4 separate regions of the Mus musculus genome follow, and all the other regions are reported to be linked to region 2. The links are microRNA targets in miRTarBase. Many come from high-throughput screens and were not tested one by one. Region 2 holds a microRNA gene; each other region holds the end of a gene's coding sequence.

Evidence for each region. The annotated mature microRNA mmu-miR-495-3p reads AAACAAACAUGGUGCACUUCUU and lies in region 2 at 904-925, shown strand. An mRNA with a match to its seed (bases 2 to 7 or 8) in the 3' UTR can be bound and repressed. Matches are read on the target gene's strand: a 7mer-m8 pairs with bases 2 to 8, a 7mer-A1 pairs with bases 2 to 7 and ends in A, and an 8mer does both.
Region 1: the mRNA of Hykk is a reported target of mmu-miR-495-3p. Seed matches in the 3' UTR shown: 7mer-m8 at 1,404-1,410, 7mer-m8 at 1,408-1,414, 7mer-m8 at 1,412-1,418 and 7mer-m8 at 1,416-1,422.
Region 3: the mRNA of Ubtd2 is a reported target of mmu-miR-495-3p. Seed matches in the 3' UTR shown: 7mer-m8 at 2,225-2,231, 7mer-m8 at 2,229-2,235, 7mer-m8 at 2,233-2,239 and 7mer-m8 at 2,237-2,243.
Region 4: miRTarBase lists Slc10a4 as a target of mmu-miR-495-3p. Seed matches in the 3' UTR shown: 7mer-m8 at 2,510-2,516, 7mer-m8 at 2,506-2,512, 7mer-m8 at 2,502-2,508 and 7mer-m8 at 2,466-2,472.

What each region holds. Positions count from the first base shown.
Region 1 is chr9:54,946,268-54,949,353 of GRCm38, forward strand. It overlaps Hykk (hydroxylysine kinase 1), which reads left to right. Exons shown (of 5, transcript NM_177351.4): 5 at 1-3,086. The coding sequence ends at 259. Among named protein-coding and RNA genes, the nearest start is that of Psma4, 3.0 kb to the right of the region's middle.
Region 2 is chr12:109,717,892-109,720,977 of GRCm38, forward strand. It overlaps Mir495 (microRNA 495), which reads left to right and starts at 863; the gene lies at 863-925. It overlaps Mir667 (microRNA 667), which reads left to right and starts at 2,115; the gene lies at 2,115-2,206.
Region 3 is chr11:32,516,245-32,519,330 of GRCm38, forward strand. Ubtd2 (ubiquitin domain containing 2) reads left to right here. Exons shown (of 3, transcript NM_173784.4): 3 at 1-2,465. The coding sequence ends at 243. Among named protein-coding and RNA genes, the nearest start is that of Efcab9, 9.8 kb to the right of the region's middle.
Region 4 is chr5:73,012,009-73,015,094 of GRCm38, reverse strand. Slc10a4 (solute carrier family 10 (sodium/bile acid cotransporter family), member 4) reads right to left here. Exons shown (of 3, transcript NM_173403.2): 3 at 2,140-3,086. The coding sequence ends at 2,748. It also overlaps the pseudogene Zar1-ps. Among named protein-coding and RNA genes, the nearest start is that of Slc10a4, 6.6 kb to the right of the region's middle.

The DNA.
Region 1 (3,086 bases), not on the chromosome of region 2:
CGCAGGGTTTGAAAGTGTGATCCCCCTGACGGCTGTAGAGAGGCAGGCTTTGTTTTTACTTGTATGCAGTCGTTTTAGCCAGTCTCTCGTCATGGCTGCATACTCCTGCCAGCTGTACCCAGAGAACAAAGAGTACCTCATGATTACAGCCAAAACCGGATGGAAGCATTTACAGCAGCTGTTCGACATGGGCCAGAAAGCCGTTGAAGAAATCTGGTTTGAAACTGCCAAGTCCTATGAATCTGAGATATCCATGTGACTGCCGCGGTAAAAAAATTAAATCGCTCAAAACTCCCCGGTGGTGCACATGCGCTCGGCGCTATGCACCCACAATGTTCTGGATTCCCGAGTGAAAGACACACACGCACAACCTTATTTTTAATATGCCCTAAGCAGGTCAATTGCCGGGCCACTCCCTAACTCCACTTGGTTAACGCACACTCCACTTCAATATTCCTGAGTTATTACTTACTAAAATCTATATATTATCTTTGTGCCCTGGACCTGGCTGGGCAGCCCTCCTGGGCAGCTTTCCCCCTGCACCTACATGTCGGCGGTCTTTCCCTTCTGTATCTTTCTGGCGTGGTCCTATGCCCCTCTTGTGGCAAAATCTTCTCTTCCTACTCTCTCTGTCTCTTCCCAGGAATCCTAAAAGTCCCACCTCTGTCTCTGCCCAGTCATTGGCCGCTGGTAATTTTATTGACAAGTCAAAAACTAACTGGGGACAGGCTTCCTTTAGTCCTAAATGTGGGACACTGCAAACAGGTATTTTTGGTAACATAATTAGCATGAGAACACAAGCCGTTACAAGTGACCTTAGAAAAGCTTGTGTTAATTAAAACCCAGTTGGCCTAGAACAAATTTATGAAGGATTTTTGTGCAGAGTTAAAACTGAAATGGTAAAACAGATCCATTCTCACAGGGCAGTGGTGGCGCACGCCTTTAATCCCAGCGCTTGAGAGGCAGAGGCAGGCGGATTTCTGAGTTCGAGGCCAGCCTGGTCTACAGAGTGAGTTCCAGGACAGCCAGGGCTATACAAAGAAACCGTGTCTCGAAAAACAAAACAAAAAAACAAAACAGAGCCATTCTAAATAGGAATTGGTGAAGGAAGATCTAATTTTTACAGCGATCTTTGGACCATCTTTTACTCTTAAGAAAGTCTACATGATGAACCCTTGCCTAGTATGCAAAGCCCGGGTTCAACCTCAGCACTACAGAAACAAGGAAATCCACACAAGTACCACCCAAGTAAGCATGTCTCTGTGCAGGTCATGCTTGCCTTTTACAAGAAACACACATGATGATACATGACTTGTCTTCAGTCTCCGAAGATCGATTCTCGTCCTTAGATCAATGATTTTTAAACTTTGAAAAGAATGCATATGTACAGCTATATTAATTTTGTTTGTTTGTTTGTTTGTTTTTGAGGCAGGGTTTCTTGGCTGCCCTGGAACTCTCAAATTCATAGAGATCCAATTGCCTCTGCCTCTCAAATGCTGGAATTAAAGGCATCTACCACCGCACACATATTCACATATTTTGAATAATCCACATATTTTAAATACCTAACCTATACATCGCTAACTCTATGAATTCTTCCTTAATCTCACCTGTCAAGAAGTGAGGTAGTGAGGTCTTTCTGTCTTTTTTTTTTTTGGCATTTTACTATTACCTGCATATTGTTGTACAGTCATCTATCTTGTAAGTTACCATGACACAGACCATGAGAAACTTAAATACATAGCTTACACATCACAAATTCTGTAGACTCTTAATCTCACCTCTCTAGAAGTGAGGCATTCTATCTTTTTTGTGGCATTTCACTCTTACCTGCTGATGGTTGTACAGTTATCTATCCTGTAAATTGACATGGCACAGCCATGAAAAACTTACATCTGGGTGTCTCTTCTTGTCCCTCTGATAGTGCCTTCCCCACAGAAAAGTCTTTGGACACATTTACAAAATGAATGCATGCAAGAAGAAAGATATGGTGAAGCCCTCGGGGAAAACACAAGAGGGAGTCCTGAGAAAAACTTGTTTGGGAGAGTAGCTGCAACCAGAACTCCAGACACAAGTGCATTGAAGCACATGTAGGCATCCAGGCAAGGCCATTATCCAGGACACCAGCAAGGCGCCTCAGCAGTTAGGGCTTACTATGCTCTTCAGGCTGGTCTTAAACATCGTGGCTCCCAAGATCCTCCTGTTCAGCCTCCCAATGCAGAGACTATAGTGATACACCATTCTGTTTGGCCCCACATGTTCTTTGTTCTCTATAACTAATGATTGCCTTTTTATAAGATTCTGTAAAAATGCAGATCATTGCATTGCATACTTGGCTTAAGTTTTATCTCAGTATTTCCTTTACTGGCTCCTTTTCATGTCTCTCTAGTCTAAGTGGCTATTTACTTATTCTTGTAGGGTGGGATTTTTTTTTTTTTCTTTTCTGTTTTGAGACTGGATTCCACTGTGTTGTCCATACTGGAATCAAGCTGTCGCATGGTTATCCTGGACTCACATGATAATCCTGCCCATGCAACCCAGTAGCTGGGACTGTAGGCATGCATAGACCACTCACTGCATTCTTTTGTTTAACCACATGCTTTCTAAAGATGACTCAGGTCTAGACCCCTAGTCATTTATTTAAACATCTTGTTAGTAGTTATCCGTCTATGTGAGTAGGCTTTGATACTATAACTCTTGTCTGATGTTTGCCTGCCTATCTACCTGTCTAAACTTCCCAAACTAGGTATTTCTCTGAATTTACTTATACAATTTATTTTTAACTTCTCCATGTCTCCCTTTTCTTTTCCTTTCTCGTTTCTTTTCTTTTCTTTTTTTAGAGCAAGATAATGTTTGTACTTAGAGAGTCAATTGTGAGGGTTTTTTAAGAGGCTATGGCAGCCTCTTAGCATAGACTCTGGCACATAGTAGAGGCATAATAAATAGTTACTAAATAATGGATCATATTTCAGGTTACGCACACTCAAAATATTGGTGTGGCACGCTGCTTGCCCTTCTCACAGTCAGCCATCGAGCCCTGCTGCTTTCACAAATCAGGATTTTAGGTTAACAAATCTGGAGCGGTT
Region 2 (3,086 bases):
CCTTACTATGAGAGGAATGGATGGCTCCTTGTTGAGTGGCCTGTCAATGAGTGTAACTGGCATTCTTTGGATGGTATGTTCTCTTGCTCATTATTCCCATTGTCCAGTCTAAGGTAGGTAGTTGGTACCAAGTCACTTTCCTTTGTGGTTCAGATATATTGCTGTAGTGTTGTAACCTTCCAGTAACGGTAACACACACTAATCAATGCGTTTTGTTTTCAGGGAAGGGTCGGTCATATGTCCCGTTCAGGACAGCCGCAAGATGATGAACGGACATTGCATCCCCAGACATCTCACACGCTCAGAATCCTGGAGCCTCCCATTTCAACCTGTTCTTCTGCTTCCCAGTACCCTGTGAGCTCTTTGTTGTATTTGTCTACATCGTAAGTCACTTCTGGGTGCGGGAGAGGGGGGACCTCAGAGGGCATCATCCAGGCACTCACACAGCTGGTTTAGGCTGCCCTGGATTTTGCCACCTAGTTCTTTGACTTTTTTTTTTTTTCTCAGCTTCAGAAGAGGATCCTGGAACTGAGAGAGGAGATTCTGTCTTGGAGTTTGGCACCATCCCATTTCCCCCGAGTGACACTTCAGAATGACTGGCAAGGATGGTAGGCAACATCTCAGAATCTTCAGTCTTCGTCCCAGGTCTTCCTGAGATCCTGAGGTAGAGGGGGTTTGGGCTGGATTGCTATGGCAGTGATGAGTACTGAGCCACTCCCCTTGCCTCAGGACCCCCATCCCTGTCCCCCTCCCGGCCAAGTATCTGCCTCACCCACCATCCCTTCCTTCCGCCTGTCCCTCAGCATCCCTTCACACTCAGGCACACTGCTGGAACAAGCAAGAGCTCAGCCGTGGTACCTGAAAAGAAGTTGCCCATGTTATTTTTCGCTTTTATTTGTGACGAAACAAACATGGTGCACTTCTTTTTCGATATCAAATCTCACCTTGGAGAGCTCCCCATGGACCAGAGGGAGGACGGGAGGCCAGGGGGTTTGGGTCACCATGTGCACAGGGGCATTTACCTCAAAGAAGCACAATTTCACCTGCCCCTCTTGGCTCTGTGCATTGTTAGGTCCAGAATGCCCACCTCCTGGGACAGGCACAGTCAGTAAGGGAAACCAGGAAGCGCACTTTTAGGCTCTGTTGTAGGATGGAGTTCAGATAAGAGAAGCCCAGAAAATTATAAAATCCAAACAATAGCAATTTAATCAAACAGCCAATACAAGCCAAACCACCAATTCCTTCTGGAGACATGTGTCTAGATGTCAGCTGCAGGTGTCTTTACCAAGATATGTCAGTTGGTGAGTGTCACATAACACTATGACTCTAGAAAAGCCTGGGCCCCAGATCAGCTCTTTACCAGCATCCTGCCATGTCTACGGGCTGTGCTCTTTGATGCCATTAGCAAGGCCTTGAGGACTGGTGGGTGCTGGCTACGATTGGGACCAGGGAACAGCAAGCTGTCATCAGCCACTGCTGCCTGTCTCTTATCTCTGATACTGGTACCCCTGCCCTCTGGAGTGGTAGATGTAAGGCGGCACTTCAGACCCCTTTTCCCTAGTGAACTTCTCTTTATGGCTAACATTCTCTGGTAGCCTCCTCATGGCATCAAAATTGCCTTTGAGTGTGGTTGTTTGAGCAGGGCCCTTTGGTGGCTCTCTTGTGAGAGTGGGAGGGAGGATACAATCCAGAGAGTATGAGAACACCTCATCCATCCATCTCCCCTGGAGGGTTTCCGAAGCTGAGCCAGTACAAGATATGGGATCACTCTTAGGCAACCCTTTGCTAGGATACTAGCTATTTCTTTCTTTGCTCAAGTTGGAATAAAAGCTTTGTTTATACTTACGTGGCTCAACAACCATAGCGCATCAAAACCCAGTGCAAACTCCATCTAAGAGGTACCAGGATTAGCCACACACTTAGCTCTTAGTTTCTACTGGCTCAGTGATGCCCTTGGGCTGTGGCTGTACCTGTGTTTTGGCTTCTGCCTATAAAAGATGGAAACACCTTTGGAAAAGCAGCAACTCTCCCTTTATACCCATGGAGAAAGGCTAAGGGGCATGGAACAAGCATGGTCAACCCATTTTCTTAGGTTGAAAATCCCTTTCCATCTAGTGGGTACTGGCCTCGGTGCTGGTGGAGCAGTGAGCACGCCATACATTATATCTGTGACACCTGCCACCCAGCCCAAGGCCCCTAGGCCCACAAACTTCTGGAGGGGAGTTTGTCTTGGATTCATCCAAGGAATGCAAAGGACACCTGGACAGAAATGCCTCTGGTGGTCATCCCAAGGTAACCGGACTTGTTCAGTTCCATTTCACATTTAGCTTTGTGCTTTATTGGCAGGCTTCTAAGGGCTGCTATTCACCCCTACATCCCAGGTACGTATAGGCCCAGAGGGAGCCTTCCATCTTTGAGGGTAGAATATTCTCTGGGCACAATACCTCACCAGCTGTCTTTTTCACAGGAGAAGCCTGGGCAGGATTGCCGCAGCTGTTCCAAGAGGCCCCAAGGGACAGTGTCCACATCATGGTGTTTGTTCGTGGAAGATATTAAACGCTGACCTCTTTTTGAGCACAAAATCCCTCCTTGAAGGGCTCTCTGTACCCGGTGTCAGGTTCAGGAACACGATGTGGGCATCAGCCCCTTGCTGATGGTATGTGAGCAGATGTCTGGCCAGATGGCAAGTGCTTTTGTTTATTTATTTTCTTATTTTGAGACTTGAGAGTTTATTGAATGAATCATCCTATAATCCAATTTCCCAAGGCAAATCTGTACATAAAAATCTAGTTTCTATCACATCGCTTCCTTCTTAATTGATTGACAGATTTGAGCAAAAACATGTCTAGCCTGCATTTCAGATTTTGAGAATTTTAAAGAATATACTCTGCCCTTCCCAGGTTCGCCTGGATCTAACCAAACGGACAAGCTCAAATATCAAATGAAAAATGATGAGAGCAAGATGAAGGTGGGAATCTCTATGAATATGTGGCACCCATATTGATTTTTTTGTATAACTCATTTAATATAACAATTTTCGATAACATTTTTTTTGTAGCAAGTTTTCATTGTAACCCAGGATACCT
Region 3 (3,086 bases), not on the chromosome of region 2:
CGCCTGCGGCTCTCCACAGGCAAAGACCTCAGGCTCGTGGTCCGCAGCACAGACACAGTGTTTCACATGAAGAGGCGCTTACACGCCACAGAGGGCGTGGAGCCAGGCAGCCAGCGCTGGTTCTTCTCTGGCAGGCCTCTCACGGATAAGATGAAGCTGGAGGAGCTGAAGATCCCCAAGGACTATGTGGTGCAGGTTATAGTGAGCCAGCCTGTGCAAACCCCAACACCAGTGGAGAACTGAGCTGGACTTGCCTTCTTCCAAGATCCCGTGGCTCCTTTTTATTGTTACCATTTCTTACTCTTAAGGCGTGAAATTTATTTTCACTGCTCTGAATTCCCTATGAATGGATTTAGTTCTGAGGAATTACCAGTGAAAAATTCCATCTGTGATGGAGACCAACAAAAATAATAAAACACACAGAGCCAGCCTCTGATACTCTTATAATTACAATTTCTAATTTGAAAGACAGTTAAGAAATAGATAACCATTTATTTTAAAACATTTATCAACTGTGTAATGGCTGTATTTAAATGATCTCGAATGTAAACAGACACCAGACCCATCAAAAACAGCACCAAGCACCTTTTGGACACAGAATTTTTATGACATACATGTCAAATTTTTTTTTTTCCAGAACCATCAATAACAGTTACAAAACCTAATCTTTTTTTTCTTTTAAAGTGGAACCTAAAAGAGCATAGAGTTTTGCTTCTCTTCTGGGTTTGTAGTCCTACCCACCAGGAGGCAGTGAGACTGGGAGTTGTCAGTGTTCCTTCCCCTCCCACCAAGTTCTGCTCCCTGTTGACATGCACTCAGTCCTGTGGCCGTCATGCTGGCAGCGGGCACCCTCTGGCGCCCTGAGCAGCACGTTAGTAAGTAGTTAGAGCTTGTATTCTCAGTTGAGAAGTTTCTAGTCTTGCTTCATAGTAATCTTAACATATCTGTGGACCCAGGCTTGACAGCTAGCTACTATGTGATGTCTTTGCTGACCCTGATGCTCTGCGTGACCATTTCTGTAGCTTCCTGGCCCCGCCTATATATTCCTGGGCCAGGCAAGACAGAAATGGAGTATAGCTGCTTCCAGTCCAGAATGAAAAGCAATCTTCTCCTTCCTGCCTGCAGGGAATGTGAGTAAAACCCTCTCTGCCTGTTCCTGGGAAAACTGTGCCTATTCTAAGCCTTGGAGAAAATTCCAATTCAAAATGTTCGTGTGTGATAGCTAACTAGTGTCATTTAAACTGCATTGGTGGGAACAGATGGTAGCGCCTGGCTCAGACTGGAGTGCTTTCACTTAACTCTGACTCCAGTCACTGTGGTGGCAGGGTTCCTCCCACACCTTCCCAACAAAGGTGAATTAACCTCCATCTGCACACTGGGCTAAGGGACTGAACATAGTAAATCAGGCTCACCTTCTCTGGAGAAAGCTGCCAAGGGTTATATTTAATCTGGAGCCTTTTAAAAGCTGTTTTTGCCAGGCATGTTGTACCTGCCTTTAATCCTGGGCCTTGAGAGGTAGAAAGAGGCAGATCTCAGAATTTGAGACCAGCCTGGAATACACAGCTAGTTCTAGGCCAGCCAGAGCTACTTAGTGAGACTGTGTCTTAAAAAAAAAAGTTGGTTCCCTGAGAAGGGGACTATCATGTGACCACACTGTCTCTGAAAGTTTGTGAGATGTGAACAGTAGATGAAAGAAGGGTCTGTGCTTTTCTCAGTCAGGAAATACCAAACCTCCTATTCGGATATAAAATGCCATTCATAATTTTAGTGGCAGAATGAAACCTCTAAGCAGTTTAAAATGTAATTTTTAAGTATTAAATTTCTTATAGCCTGTTTAAATATATCTATAATTATAACTTACATTTCTGAGAACTTTAACCATTTCCCTAATTCTGTTCATCATTTAGTTTGTGATTGTATCTAATTTAGATTTGGTGGTGACTGATCTAAATTCAGAAGTGCACACACAGCTTTAGCAACCAAGGATGCCCACATTTCCATGTGGAGGCTCTAGGGTATTCCAGTGCATCTCCCTCCCACCATCAAGAAGGTTGGTTCATTTGTCATATTGAATAACAGTATCTCAAAGTCCGTCAGTTGGAAAAGTGGTTAAACCTATTATTTTTCTAAAGGAAATTTGATGGTGTCATGAATAACCTGATTGTTAAAAGGTCTTGTTTCTTGAGGGTTTGTCCTAAGAGATTTGTGGGGTCTTTTGGTTTTTGTTTGTTTGTTTGTTTGTTTAAATTTTAAAGGAACATATACTTTGAATAACAATCCTCCAGGCATGGTGAGAAAAAAACCTAGGTGCTGGAAATTGTCAATAGGTTAATAACCTAGGTGAGAAAAAAACATGGTGCTGGTAATTGTCAATAGGTCGATGTAAGATTGGATCAATACTTGATGTGTATCATTTTAGTATGTAGGGGTTTTGTGCTTTTTTTAAAAAAAAAAATTCAACTTTTCTCTTTGTCTTTGCCATTATTTCTCTATACAGCGACAGTTTCCTGCATCCTATAGGAAAGTGTGAAGTGTTCTCTCTAAAACCGGTAGTGACCACCAAACCTAAGCTCTGCTCCACCACATACTGCAGGTCACTTAGAGGTGTGCCTCACCAGCACTGCTGCCTTGGTCTAAAATAGGTTCACCATGGCTCAGTCGCTACTACTTGCTGTGCTGCCAAGGCAACACTGGATTCCAACACTCAGCCAGTTGGGCCAAACTGGGGAGCTCCAGTTTCAGTGAGCGACCCGCCTTGAGAGGAATGACACCCAGTGTCATCTCTGGCCTCTGCATTCACATACTCAAACAATGGTGTATATATCTTACTTTGTGTGTATTGTGCTAATTTTTCAAGTTTTTCATAGTCAAACCTTTTAAGTCTCATCAGGTGTGGTTGTGCTCATCTCTAATCCTAGCACTTGGTGGGTAGAGGCAATCTGAATTGGAGGGCAGCCTGCTCTGCCTGTGGCGTTCCCAGCCAGCCAGGGCCTAAGAAGGGAGTTCCTCTCTTTAACAACACATCATCTGTTGGACTTTTTATGGCCTCTGGGTTTCTTAAAGGGCCTTCCCTATTCCAAAGGATA
Region 4 (3,086 bases), not on the chromosome of region 2:
AGCTTAGCAGTGGCTGGCCTTCTGAATGAGTGGGGAGAGTGGTTTGTTTTTTGTTTTTGTTTCTGTTTTAAGCCAGGCAAGTTTGGGAGAGAGAAGCTTCAGTTGACAGCTTCAGAAACGAAGGGAAGGGCCTGGTATAGAACAAGCCTGCAAGTTAACCAAGACAGATCATCTAGAGGGGAAATAAGAAAAGGAGCCTTGGGAAACCGACTCTCCCCGCAACGAAGTTCACAAGATTATGTTCCTGCCATGTGTGCACTTATCTTCCTTCAGCCGTCTGAAGTTTGGTCCAAACCAGACTGTGTGCATTTACCGCGGAGACCTCACGTGTAGCGTTTATGTGATCAGAATTAAATAATTACAACTGGCATTCCCCAGGAGCAGAGGCTGCCTGTGGGTCGGGACACATATGGGTTGGTTTTTATTGTGTAAACGCCTCCCATTGTATTAACAGGCAGCGGCTGCAAAATCCTATATGCCAAAGAGCTGGAGAGATGGCTCAGCTGTGAAACAACACCCTGTTCTTCTAGAGGACAGTAATTCCGATCCTAAAACTCACATGGTGACTTACAACCATCTGTAAAACACCAGTCCCAGGGGATCCGACGCCCTCTTCTGCTCCCATCTCTCCACTACAACGAAGTGTACAGATACAACATGCAATCAAAACACCAAACATGTTAAAAACAAACAAACAAAAAACAGACTGATGGCATGGAAGAATTCTATGTTCTGCATCACCCAGAGCCACCAGCTTAGCCCTGAAGGAGCCCTACAATTCTGGAGGCGTCCAGGCCGCCAGGCTGGCCTCACCTGGAAACGCAGGAGCTCCTTGTCCTGCTTGGTGCTTTGCGGGGAGGGGCATCCGAGTCACCGGGGTCCTGAGCCATCTCTGCAGCAGGACACAGCTCCTCACTCCCAGGCTCAGACTGCATCACCACCACACTGTTCCGGTCCTCCGGTGGTGGCTGCTGCTCCCACCCGGCCTGCCCTTCAGCCTGGACGTCGCCCTCCTCGCTTCGCGGCTGGGGGACCGCTTTCCTCACGGCCACCTCTCTCGGCTCCGGTTCCCGGGTCTCCGAGGATGCCGGGCTCCCCTCTCCCTTCCTGGGTGTCTGCCTGCCCCCGCAACCTCCAGCGAGGAGAGGCCACAGAAGTCACGGACGAGAACGGGGCGACGGTCTGCCAGGATCGCGGGGATCTCCCGGCGCCGGCGTGGCCACGGGGTTGACAGGAACCCGACCGGGCGTCGGGGCTGGCTCGGCACCCTGCAGGCTGCAGCGTGCGGCGCCCGAGTGAACACTGCACCGAGGCGTCGCGGCGCGGGTTCACCTGCACCGCAGCGTCACGGCTGCTGACCGACCGGGGACCCATCCGCGACAGCAGGGCCATGAGCTGTGCCCGCTGGTGGCGGTCGACGTACTCCGCGGCCATGAGCTGTCTGTAGCCGGGGAGGAAGGAGGGGGGCGCGGGTCGGCAGCCCCTGGCTCCGAACCTCCAGCCATCCCCGGCTTTGGTGGCCTGCGGATAAGGATGCGGGCAGGGGTGGAACGTGCTCGCCGGGAACATGGGTGCGTTCCGCGCCTCGCCCGCCCAGGCAGCCATCAGCGCAGCCCAGCTGCCCTCCACACTGCGTTAAATAGGCGACCGCGCACTGGTAGAAAAAGCCCTACCACCTGCTGTTGCCATACTGAGCGAACCCTTCCCCACACTGGTTAAGAGGCGACCCTCCTCGTGGATGCAGAAAAAGAGCTTTCCTTGCTAGCCACAGTAACAATTTGTAGGGGAACTAGATGAGATGAGAATTCAACCCCAGAATCATCACCGAGATTAGCCGAGCCAGGTGGGCCCCCATGTCTGTAGCTCCAGATGTCTGTCATGAAGAAGGCAAGGGAGGCCAGTGTGTCTGATTAGGGAGCAAAATAACAAATGTTAGGAGACTGCTCTGAACCTCTTAGCTTGTCTCAGATCACAGCTCCAGTCTACCAGAGCAGTGGGACAGTGTCCAGCCACAGGCCTTTCCGGAAGGAAAGCCTGTAGCCACAGCCCTTTCCCACGGATGAACAAAGGGGCCCATTTTCTCTCCCTGAGGTGAGGTCTACGCATTTTCCTAAGTAAATCATTCCTTCAGACGATAAATGGAGCTGAGATGCGTTTATACAAATACAGGAAACATATGGGGAAAATGCCTTTCACCCCTGGACAATGTTGATGGCCATTAACAATAGATACTAGATCAAGTAGTCACACACATTAATATGATTTTCTCTGGCTTGAGAGTGGTTTGACGATGCAATGCTATCCTGTCGTTTCACTGACCCGTTTTGGACTTTTCTCAATACAGGCTCGCCCTGAACAGAATCGGTTGTTTGTAAGTTGAGCAAACCCATGGTTCTGTTTTACAAACATTTACAAACATTTCCAACCCCATTTCCTATCTGTAGCGATGCTGGTGGAAATGGCAAAACAAACAAAAACCGGGAAAACAAAACAAAACAAAAAACAAACAAACAAACAGCACACTACTTAAGCAGAGGACCGGCACTTTAGCTGATCCAGGTGTAAGCAATACTGGGACTCTGTTGAGTTAGAAAAACACATGGGTAATACTGAGATACAACATTACAGTGGGAAGAGCAAATCTGTTACAGGAAATGTCAACCCATCTTTATCCCGGATGCGAACCATACTCGCTACCAATGGTCACAAATAGGAAGTGATGTTTCAGCTCCCGTGTATCTCCTCGGTCAGAGGGCGGTCTGGGTGGTCTCCATCATCACTAAGTCATCCGTCCCCACGGTGCCATAGGAGGTGTCTGCCATTTCCTCTTCTTTCAGTTTCTTATAAGAAATATCGGTGTCTTCGTCTTCGTCTAGGGCCTCTCGCTTGTGCAGTATCTCACTTCCGTACATTTTGTAGATCAACACGAAGACCCCTGCCTCGGCAGACTGGAAGAGGGCGTAGAGCAGAGGGAACATGTACATGCTACCTATAAAGCGAGGCGGGAAGGCCAGTTTGAGAATCGCAGTGCAGAGCTGCACGTTCTGACTTCCTGTTTCCAGACACACAGTCCGCTTGCAGTTGGG